Rattus norvegicus: one gene and its partner. The main gene of each other region encodes a partner of the protein of the gene in region 2 in a complex. Links are inferred from orthologs where the notes say so. Each region holds a gene or a part of one and is shown on either strand. Other genes may lie near its edges. The genes, in order: Vasp and Pfn2.

Region 1 (3,804 bases), on a different chromosome or scaffold from region 2:
CCAAACCAAGCAGAGGGGGAAGGGGGGCGGGGACCACGGGAGGGGACAACCACGACACCACAGGACCAGAAGCCTCTGGCTCCTCTCAGGGGCCTGGGCGCACTCTTTTCAACGATGCAAACGGATGATTCCAAAGTGGCCATGGGTTCAGAGAGCTGTGGAACCCTAGGGTGGAGTGAGGATGGGGCATGGGGGGGAGGGATTGTGCCAGAATGGTTCATTCCCTCATCAGATTCTTTGGGGTTAGATTTTCTTTTTCTTTTCTTCCCTATTTAGACAAGGTCTCACTGTGTAGCCTAGGGTAGCCTGGAACTTTGCAGACCAGGCTGGGTTCAAACTTGCAGACCCACCTGCCTCTACCTTCTGAATGGCGGGAAAGGTGTGCAGCATCATGTCAGTCCCCTACTGATTTCTAAGGCCGCTGAAATTCACTACATAGCCCAGGCTGGCCTTAACTCTTGGCAACCCTCCTGCCTCAGGCTCCCATGTCCCGAGATGACAGGTTGAGCGCCACCACACCTAGTTTTGCAGTACGTTTCTTCATCTCCGGGAGCTTGGCCACTGGTGTCTGAATGCTGTTTACCTCTAGACTCATGGCCCTCTCACCTTTCTAGAAAGTGAAAACTGGCAGGTTCTGAACTCTGGGAGGTATGGGGTGCCCAGGAGGAGGGAGGGTCCCCACCTTTTCTGTTGTTCCAGCTCCTCTGGGGAGGGGCCATTCTGGGTAGACCAGGCAGGGGGTGCTGGGGCAGGGGGAGGCCCACCTCCTGGAAGGTGAAGAGAAAACCACAGTAAGACAACAGGAGCTCGATCTTCCCTCAGTCCCCTCCCCTCAGCCGGATGCCATCCCAGTGAACCAGAGGCCCTGACAGCCCTCGCAAGGAGTGGCCTCCCTGGACACCGAGATCCAGTAGTTGCTAAGCAGGTTAGAAATCTGCAGGAACAATCAATCACATTTCCAGCTCGTAGGGACTAACCACAGGCCTCCACTACCAATGGCTTCTCCACAGACAGAGTGGGTAAGCTCTTCCACCAATACTAATAAGGCGGTGAAGCCAACACCTCAGCCGTTGGGTGTTTTCCGTCTACAGAAAGCAGAGCAGTCTATCTAATAAAAAAATTTTTAAAAAAAGCACATTTACACACACACACACACACACACACACACACACACACACGAAAGAAAGAAAGAGAGAGAGAGAGAGAGAGAGAAAGAAAGAGCAGTCACCTAGGGCACGGCTTTGAAAGTGCTGTCCGAGGGGGCTGGGGACGTGGCTCAGTGGTAAAGCACCTGGAGAACCTGTCCGAAGCCACCCCCATTAAATCACCAGCATCAAAAAAAAAAAAAAAAAAAAAAAAAAAAAAAAAAAAAAAGACAGGATCTTGGCATCATTAGGAAACTTGAAAGAATAAAAATAAATAAATAAAGGAAGTCTTGTTCCCTGCACTCCAGCCTGTACTTGACCCAGATCACCACATGGGCTGAATGTTTCCAGAAACAGAAATACCATGTATCTGGGCACAGGGCGCACGCCCTTGATCCCAGCACTCAGAAGGCAGAGGCAGGCGGATCTCTCTCTGAATCTGAGGCCAGCCCAGTCTACAGTAAGTTTCAGGACAGGCAGGGCTACCCAGAGAAATCCTGATGAGAGGGGGGCGGGGGGAGGGAGGGAGGGAGACACACAGAGACAGAGAGAGAGACAGAGAGAGAAAGGAAAAAGAAAGAATGGGAGGAAGAAGGAGAAAGGAATAAAAGGAAAGAGGAAGGAAGGAAGGGAAGGGAAGGGAAATTTAAAGACAACGTAGAGACTTTATTCTGGACTGCGATGGCACCAGGCTGACACACAGCAGGCAGCCCTGCAGCACTGAGAAGCTGTCCTAAGCCACCTAAGAACCTTGCTTTACAGCAAATATGGCTGTGGGGCCCAGAATGGCCCAGAACTCTCCATCCTCTCACGCCTCACCTTCTCTCTCAAAGGCTCACATTACACGTATGCACCATGACCAACACAGGCAACACAATGGAGGCTGGACAGACAGATGTCTTGGTGTGGCAAGTGGTCAAGGGAAACCTGCTATCATCTCTGAGTGGGGTCCTCACCAAGCGCTGACAGCTCCCATTAGTCTTCCTCCATGGGTTAGTTGATTTCTAGGTAGGTAGACTTAGACCCTGAAGGGCAGGGTAGCAGCTTCAGCCTGCAGAACGCTGCTAAGGGGGCTCTCCTGCTCACCCCAAACCCCAGTCCGTTTGGTTGTTTGAGACAGGGTTTCTCTGTGTAGCCCTGGCTGTCCTGAAACTCACTGTGTAGACCAGATCAAGAGATCCACCTGCCTCTGCCTCCTGAGTGCTGGGACTAAAAGCATGAATGACTACTATGTGTTTTGTTTTTCATTTTTATATGTATGGGTGTTTTGCCTATACATGAATTTCTGTGAACCACATATGTGCCAAGTGCCCACAAAGGCCAGATGTCAGATCCCTTGGCACTCTGAGCCACCTGGGGGTGCTGGGAGTCAAACCCAGGTCCTCTGGAAGAGCAGTAAATGCTCTTAAGCACTGAACCATCTCTCCTGTCCTCCAACACATACACATACATACACATACTCACACGCGCGCGCGCACACACGCACACACACACACACACACACACTTTTGAGATAGAGCTTTATGTAGCTCAGGCTGTCTCACACTTCCCGTGTAGCTGAGGATAGCCTTAATCTCATTATCCTCCCTCCTCTACCTGCTGAGCGCTGGGACAACAGGCACCAAGTTCATGCAGTGCTGGGGACTGAATGCAGAGCCACACACAGGCTAGCTGAGCTCTCTACCTACAGACCTACATCCCCAGTCCCGATCTTATTTGTAACAGAGTCTTGCTTCGTCCTCCAAGCCCGCCTGGGACTTGTTACAATCCCTGTTCCTGTCCCTTTATCATAAAGTGAGCCCCAGCTCCATCCCGCCTGCCCATCTAACCTTCCAAGGCCTCCAGGGCATTGGCCATGCCGATCGCAAACTGCGCAGCGTCCTCCTTGCTGCCGAAGTTGAGGCCCCAGACCTGGCGGGCATCACGCCACTGGTGGAATATGGGAGTGGCCTGATTGTACTTGACACCTCGAATGATGGCACAGTTGATAACCACCTACAAGAGCACACAGGTTGGTGGGGGCTCAGTGGCAGGGAGGCAGGGAGGCAGAGGGACAGAGGGAGCCTGCACCTGCTGGTCAGGCTGCAGCTTGCGGCCAACAACTCGGAAAGAGTTAGCAGTGGGGTTGTGGTAGATCTGGACGCGGCTAAAGGCCTGGGGACCGGTGCCAGCAGGAAGCCATCGTTTGTTGCTGTCATCGTAAAGCATCACAGTAGCCCGGCTGGAACAAATGACCGTCTCGTTGCTAGGGGAGAAAGCAGAGGGACCAGTCACATTCTTCTTAGATCCATACAGTACATGCAGAAAACAAACTGCAGCCTGTACATGAATGTGCGGGGATGTGGTTGTACATGCATGCCTGGGGGGGTGTTGCTCAGTGGTTAGAGCCCCTGCCTAGAATCCCCCAGGGAGGGGCTGGGGGCGTGGTAGAGTGCTTGCCCCCAGCATGCTCGCTCCGGCCCCTAGTTGAGCCCACAGTACTATAAAAGAAGATAAATTGACAGCTGAGTGCACTGTAGGGAAGAGATAGGCCACACACAGGAAGAGGCAGAAAGAGATAAAGTAGGGTCCATAAGACTTGAGCTGGGGGCTAGGCAGCTTGCTCAGGTCCTGGGCTCAGCCTCTACAGCCTTAGTCAAAAATGGAAAAGGCAGAGTCG
Region 2 (4,525 bases):
TTAAAATCTCATTCTTTGGAAGTATTTTAATAAATGGGACATGTACTCTAAAACTCTAGATTATTTCTCTCTTCTTCCGAAATGTTCCTGGCAGAAAAATAAAACAATGTGATTGTTTCCTTTTTATGATGAGCAGGGAACGGATTTCAAATCTAAGGAAACATTAAAGGAGAGCTCTACAAGACTAATTAGACACAAAAATAACTAAGTGACCAGAACAGTTTAACAACCACATATACCCCAGCATCCTAACATGACGGCTTAAGAGGCAACTTTCCATTGTTAAGATTACTAAAGCTGTGGCAGTTTACAGCAGTCAGGGGGAGGAGTGAGGCGCGTACGCACCACTCTGAAACAGACGAGATGGTAGCAGTGCCAGCCTTCAGTGCTGAGCAGCTCACAAACCCCCTTAAGAGTCTCTAGGAACGAATCTTTACTTAAACCATTAAAGAAACCCAAGTTCTAACGTGGCATGCAACTTTCAGGCACAAAAAACCAGCTTGCTTACCTCTCCCAGCTCTGCCAACAGCAACGTTGTATGTTGGCTCCCCACCTTGACTCTTTGTCCGGATGTCCATTGTGCAGTCCGAGTCAACGTATAGGCTATCTCTGATCACAGAGCACTTCTTTCCTCCAAGAGTCAAACCATTGGTAAAGAAACCTTCCCGGTCTTTTCCTATAATCACATCTATTTCTGCTGGCTGGCCACCCAAAACAAAGAAGAAAAAAATTACAGTTAATCAGAATTTGATACAACAAACTGTGTGCTGATGTAAATATCTTGATTGTTCTTGTTTTTATCATTACACGGTTACATGATTTACACATTAGTTTGCTTTTGCAGTGAGGTCTGCTAACTAAAAGCCAGAGTATAGCAACGGTACAAAGAGTCTCCCTAAACAGTTGGCAGTTGACACCGGCTACAAACTGAAATTGAGTTATTTATAAACTATATCAAGTCAGGTGCTACTTGAAGGTGCTTATGTAATTGTAAAGATTCAGCTATAAGCTCTTACAAAAGCTTGTCTGTCACATTCAGCCACATTAGTCATGTTGCATCAAAGTTAAAGTTGAGTGAAAGTCTACCCAGATAAACCTGCTCACTTCTCTGTTTCGAGCAGATTGAAATATCCCTGGCAGTGTGAGCCTCAAACACCACCTCCATCACTGTGGGGCATTTCCAAGTTCGTTTTTCCCTCCTATTTTTCTAGCCACTTTTTTCTCTCCAACTTGCCTTGCCCTTCCATTCAATAATCAGCTTTTCCTTCTGGACAAATGCAGTGTGGAGTCTGTCTACAGCACTGCAGTAACCAATAGTAAAATCAGAGAGAAAATGGAGGGGCATTGGTAAGGAAAGTGAGTTAGCCGGCAGAATAGAAAAGAGAATACGTTCATTCTAACATTCCATGAATAAGAAGGAAGGCGTCGCCCCCATCAGAACTGCAGAGTCATAGCAGGCCCCAGCCATTTCCAAGCATACTCCCGCAATCTTCTTAAGCCAGACAGCGGGAACTCACACACAAAGGCAAGACTGCAGAAAAAAAAAGTTAAATCACCAAATGTCAATTCGCTGTAGGAATTGTGATCTCTCACATGGGGACAGGAGATCTTAAAGCACTCCTATCATGGACTGAATCCACACTGATATATTAAACCATGTTAAGTAGTAAAATGCTGAGCACCTGTGATATGGGACTTGATTTTTCCTAGGTGATGGGAAGGGAGTGGGAGTGTGGAACTAAGAAATTAAGGGAATGGTCTTGTACTTGATACTGGTGCCAAAATTTTAAAGAAGAGCATTGCATAGAAACGAGCATAACAATAAGCAGTGCTGGAGGCTGATTGACGAATATACTCCAAACGTGTGGCAACCGAGTCAAATGCCATCAAGTCACATGAAGATGAGACAACGTGAAGCAGATATCGGTATTAGTTCTTTTACTACCATCACTAAAGAGGGAGTGACTTGAGAAGTGTCACCCCCCCCCAGCGACTCCCCAGATTTTTTTTTTAAATCACCCTTAAACCATCCCCTTTTTAGAGCTATGTTGCGTAACTGGGGATAACAGTATATCGATGAATCTCTATAGGTGGAGAAGAGAAATCAATGGCAGTTCGCCATCTTGGAGGAAAAAAAAAACTATAGAGCCACAGCTGAAGTAGATTCACGATTCCACCTACGTGGTCCGCGTACCTTTCTCTCCAGCCTAGGAGGCCTGGACACCCGCAAGCCTACGCAAAGTCACTCCATTAATTCCCGGGACCCGGCCACCGCCGCCACCCACATCCCGCGCACACTGCCGAGCCAGGGCCAGCCTGCTGCCTAGGACCTCCCGCCCACACCCGGGGACCTGCACTGCAGCCCGCCGGGCTCCCCGAACGCTGAGGGGCCTCCCGGGGTGACGTCCCCTCCTCCACCCTGGCAGCCGCAAGCCGGGGCGCCGCCGGGGCGAAGAGTCCGGCCGCCCCGCCCCCGCGCGGCCTCGGGCAGCATCCCCAGGCTCAGCGGCTGGCACGGGGGCCCCCCCGGCTGCATGCCCTTCCTCAGCCGGCGGTACCCTATCCTTCAGCCCCGGCCTCATCCCCTTCCTCGCGGGCGGGCGTCCCCTTCCTCAGGCCCGCCGCACACCTGCCGGCTCGGCGCCCCCGGGCCTCACCGTGATGCTCTGGAAGACGCCCCCGGCCGTGGCTGCCCAGACGTATTTGGCGTCGCAGTAGCCGACAATGGCGGCCTCCTGGCAGCAGCCATCGCACATCAGGTTATCCACGTAGCTCTGCCAACCGGCCATCTTCGAGCCCTTCGCACTGCAGCGGGGACGGCAGGAGCAGAGGCGCAGCAGCAGCGGCGGCGGCGGCGGCGGTGGAGGCGGGGCGGGGGCGGGGAGGAGGCGGCTCTGCGCAGGCACCGACCGCCCCTCTCCGGGGAACTGCGGCGGGCGGGGACAGGACCCGCAGCGGGGAGCGCCGGGCGGCCGCGGCCGCGGGGCTCAGGGGCCAGCGGCTGAGCGACGCTTGCAGCGGGGCTGGCGACGGCCGACTCACACCGCAGCTCCCTCGGCTCTCCGCGGCCAGCGGGACGTGTACGCGCGTGCGTGCGATCCTTCCGCAGCGCAGCCGGCGAGGGTCCCGGGGAGGGCGGGAGAGCTGAGGCGGGGGCGCGGAGGGATACCGCCGGGGACAATCACGGCCCACACGTGCGGCAGGCGAGCGGGAGCAGGGCTGGGGCGCGGCGGCGGAGGCTTCACCGCAGGCTATGAGGCGAGGCAGCTTGAGTGGGCGCCGTAGGGTGCCAGAGCTCTGGGTGCACGGCGGCCGCGGTGCTCACTCCTCAAGTGCCAGCCCTGGACGCGGTATTTATTGACAGCACCGGTGTCGGGTGGCAGGGTTGCCCTGGTGACGGGATGCAGACGAGGGTTTACTCTTTGTAGTGGGAGCGGCCAGTGCGGGTTGCCCACACTTGGGGAGGTGTCTCTTGAAAGACCTTGGCCAGCTGCGCCTCGCACGCTCCTGAAATCAGAGCAGTGGCAACGGAGCAGCGCAGCTCTTTGTTGCCTCCTTTGAGTACGAGGAACTCCAGGTTCAGTGGAGCTTTTGCCCTGAACGCAGTGCTGCTAATCACACATGGGGCTCAACGGTCCAGAAATTCTAACTAAAAAAAGCAAAGCAAAGCAAAACAAAAAAACCAGACCCTATGCGTACTTGGTAACTGGAAAAGTTACTGTGCGTTAAATACATCCACGAAATACAAAGAATAGTCGAGCTAGAAAAGATTCATTGAACTAGACCAGTGGTTCTCAAACTTCCTAATGCTGAGCGTGACCCCTTAACACAGTTACCTATGTTGTGCTAACCCCCCAACCATAAATTATTTTGTTGCTATTTCATAACTGTAAATTTGCTAGTTATGAATCATAATGTAAATATCTGATATGTGCCCCCAAAGGGTTTGAGGCCCACAGGTTGAGACCCACTGTACTAAATGGTGAAAATAATTCAGAATCTACATCCGAGGAAGACTTGTATATGACAGGGTGGGAAATGGTTTAAGAGTCTCCGAACATTCTCCTACATCTTTATTAACTTTATGTGCTGGGTCTAGACTCAGCATCAGATGTTCCCCAACGATGACCAGTTTGAGGTGACAAACCCGACCTGCTTATTAAGGGAAAGAAAGCTCCAGTAGATTGCAAACTATCATCAAGTTTAAAGTTGTGGAGCACACTGACAATTTTATAATAGCATCACTGAACTTTTATTTATTATTTATTTATTGGGCTTTAAAAAAAATAATGTCTTAGAGTTCTGATCGCTATGAAGAGACACTGTGACCACAGCAACTCTTATAAAAGAAAGCATTTAATTGGGGCCTGGCTTACAGTTCCAGAGGTTTAGTCCATTCTCATCATGCCTGGAAGTATGCAGTCTGGCATGATATGGAGAAATAGCTGAGAGTTCTATGTCTGGATCCCAAAGTAGCAGGAAGAGAGCATCACTGGTTTTGAATTGGACTTTGGAAACCTCAAAG

The links.
Region 1: the proteins of Pfn2 (region 2) and Vasp are in contact, whole or in part, in a crystal structure (PDB 2V8C), measured with the Mus musculus proteins. The link is inferred for Rattus norvegicus from reciprocal best matches to the Homo sapiens genes PFN2 and VASP. Residues at the interface, in NP_062283.1 of Mus musculus: Gly3, Trp4, Ser6, Tyr7, Asn10, Cys13, Tyr30, Trp32, Met131, Tyr134, Ser138, Phe140; in NP_033525.2 of Mus musculus: Gly165, Pro166, Pro167, Pro168, Pro169, Pro170, Gly171, Pro172, Pro173, Pro174, Pro175, Pro176.

Annotation. Positions count from the first base shown.
Region 1 is NC_086019.1:88,042,735-88,046,538, forward strand, and holds part of Vasp (vasodilator-stimulated phosphoprotein), read right to left. Parts: intron 3,391-3,804; coding exon 3,216-3,390; intron 3,141-3,215; coding exon 2,975-3,140; intron 768-2,974; coding exon 683-767; intron 1-682. UniProt on the Homo sapiens protein: Ena/VASP proteins are actin-associated proteins involved in a range of processes dependent on cytoskeleton remodeling and cell polarity such as axon guidance, lamellipodial and filopodial dynamics, platelet activation and cell migration.
Region 2 is NC_086020.1:144,220,018-144,224,542, forward strand, and holds the start of Pfn2 (profilin-2), read right to left. Parts: upstream 2,920-4,525; 5' UTR 2,790-2,919; coding exon 2,658-2,789; intron 702-2,657; coding exon 509-701; intron 1-508. UniProt on the Homo sapiens protein: Binds to actin and affects the structure of the cytoskeleton. At high concentrations, profilin prevents the polymerization of actin, whereas it enhances it at low concentrations. By binding to PIP2, it inhibits the formation of IP3 and DG.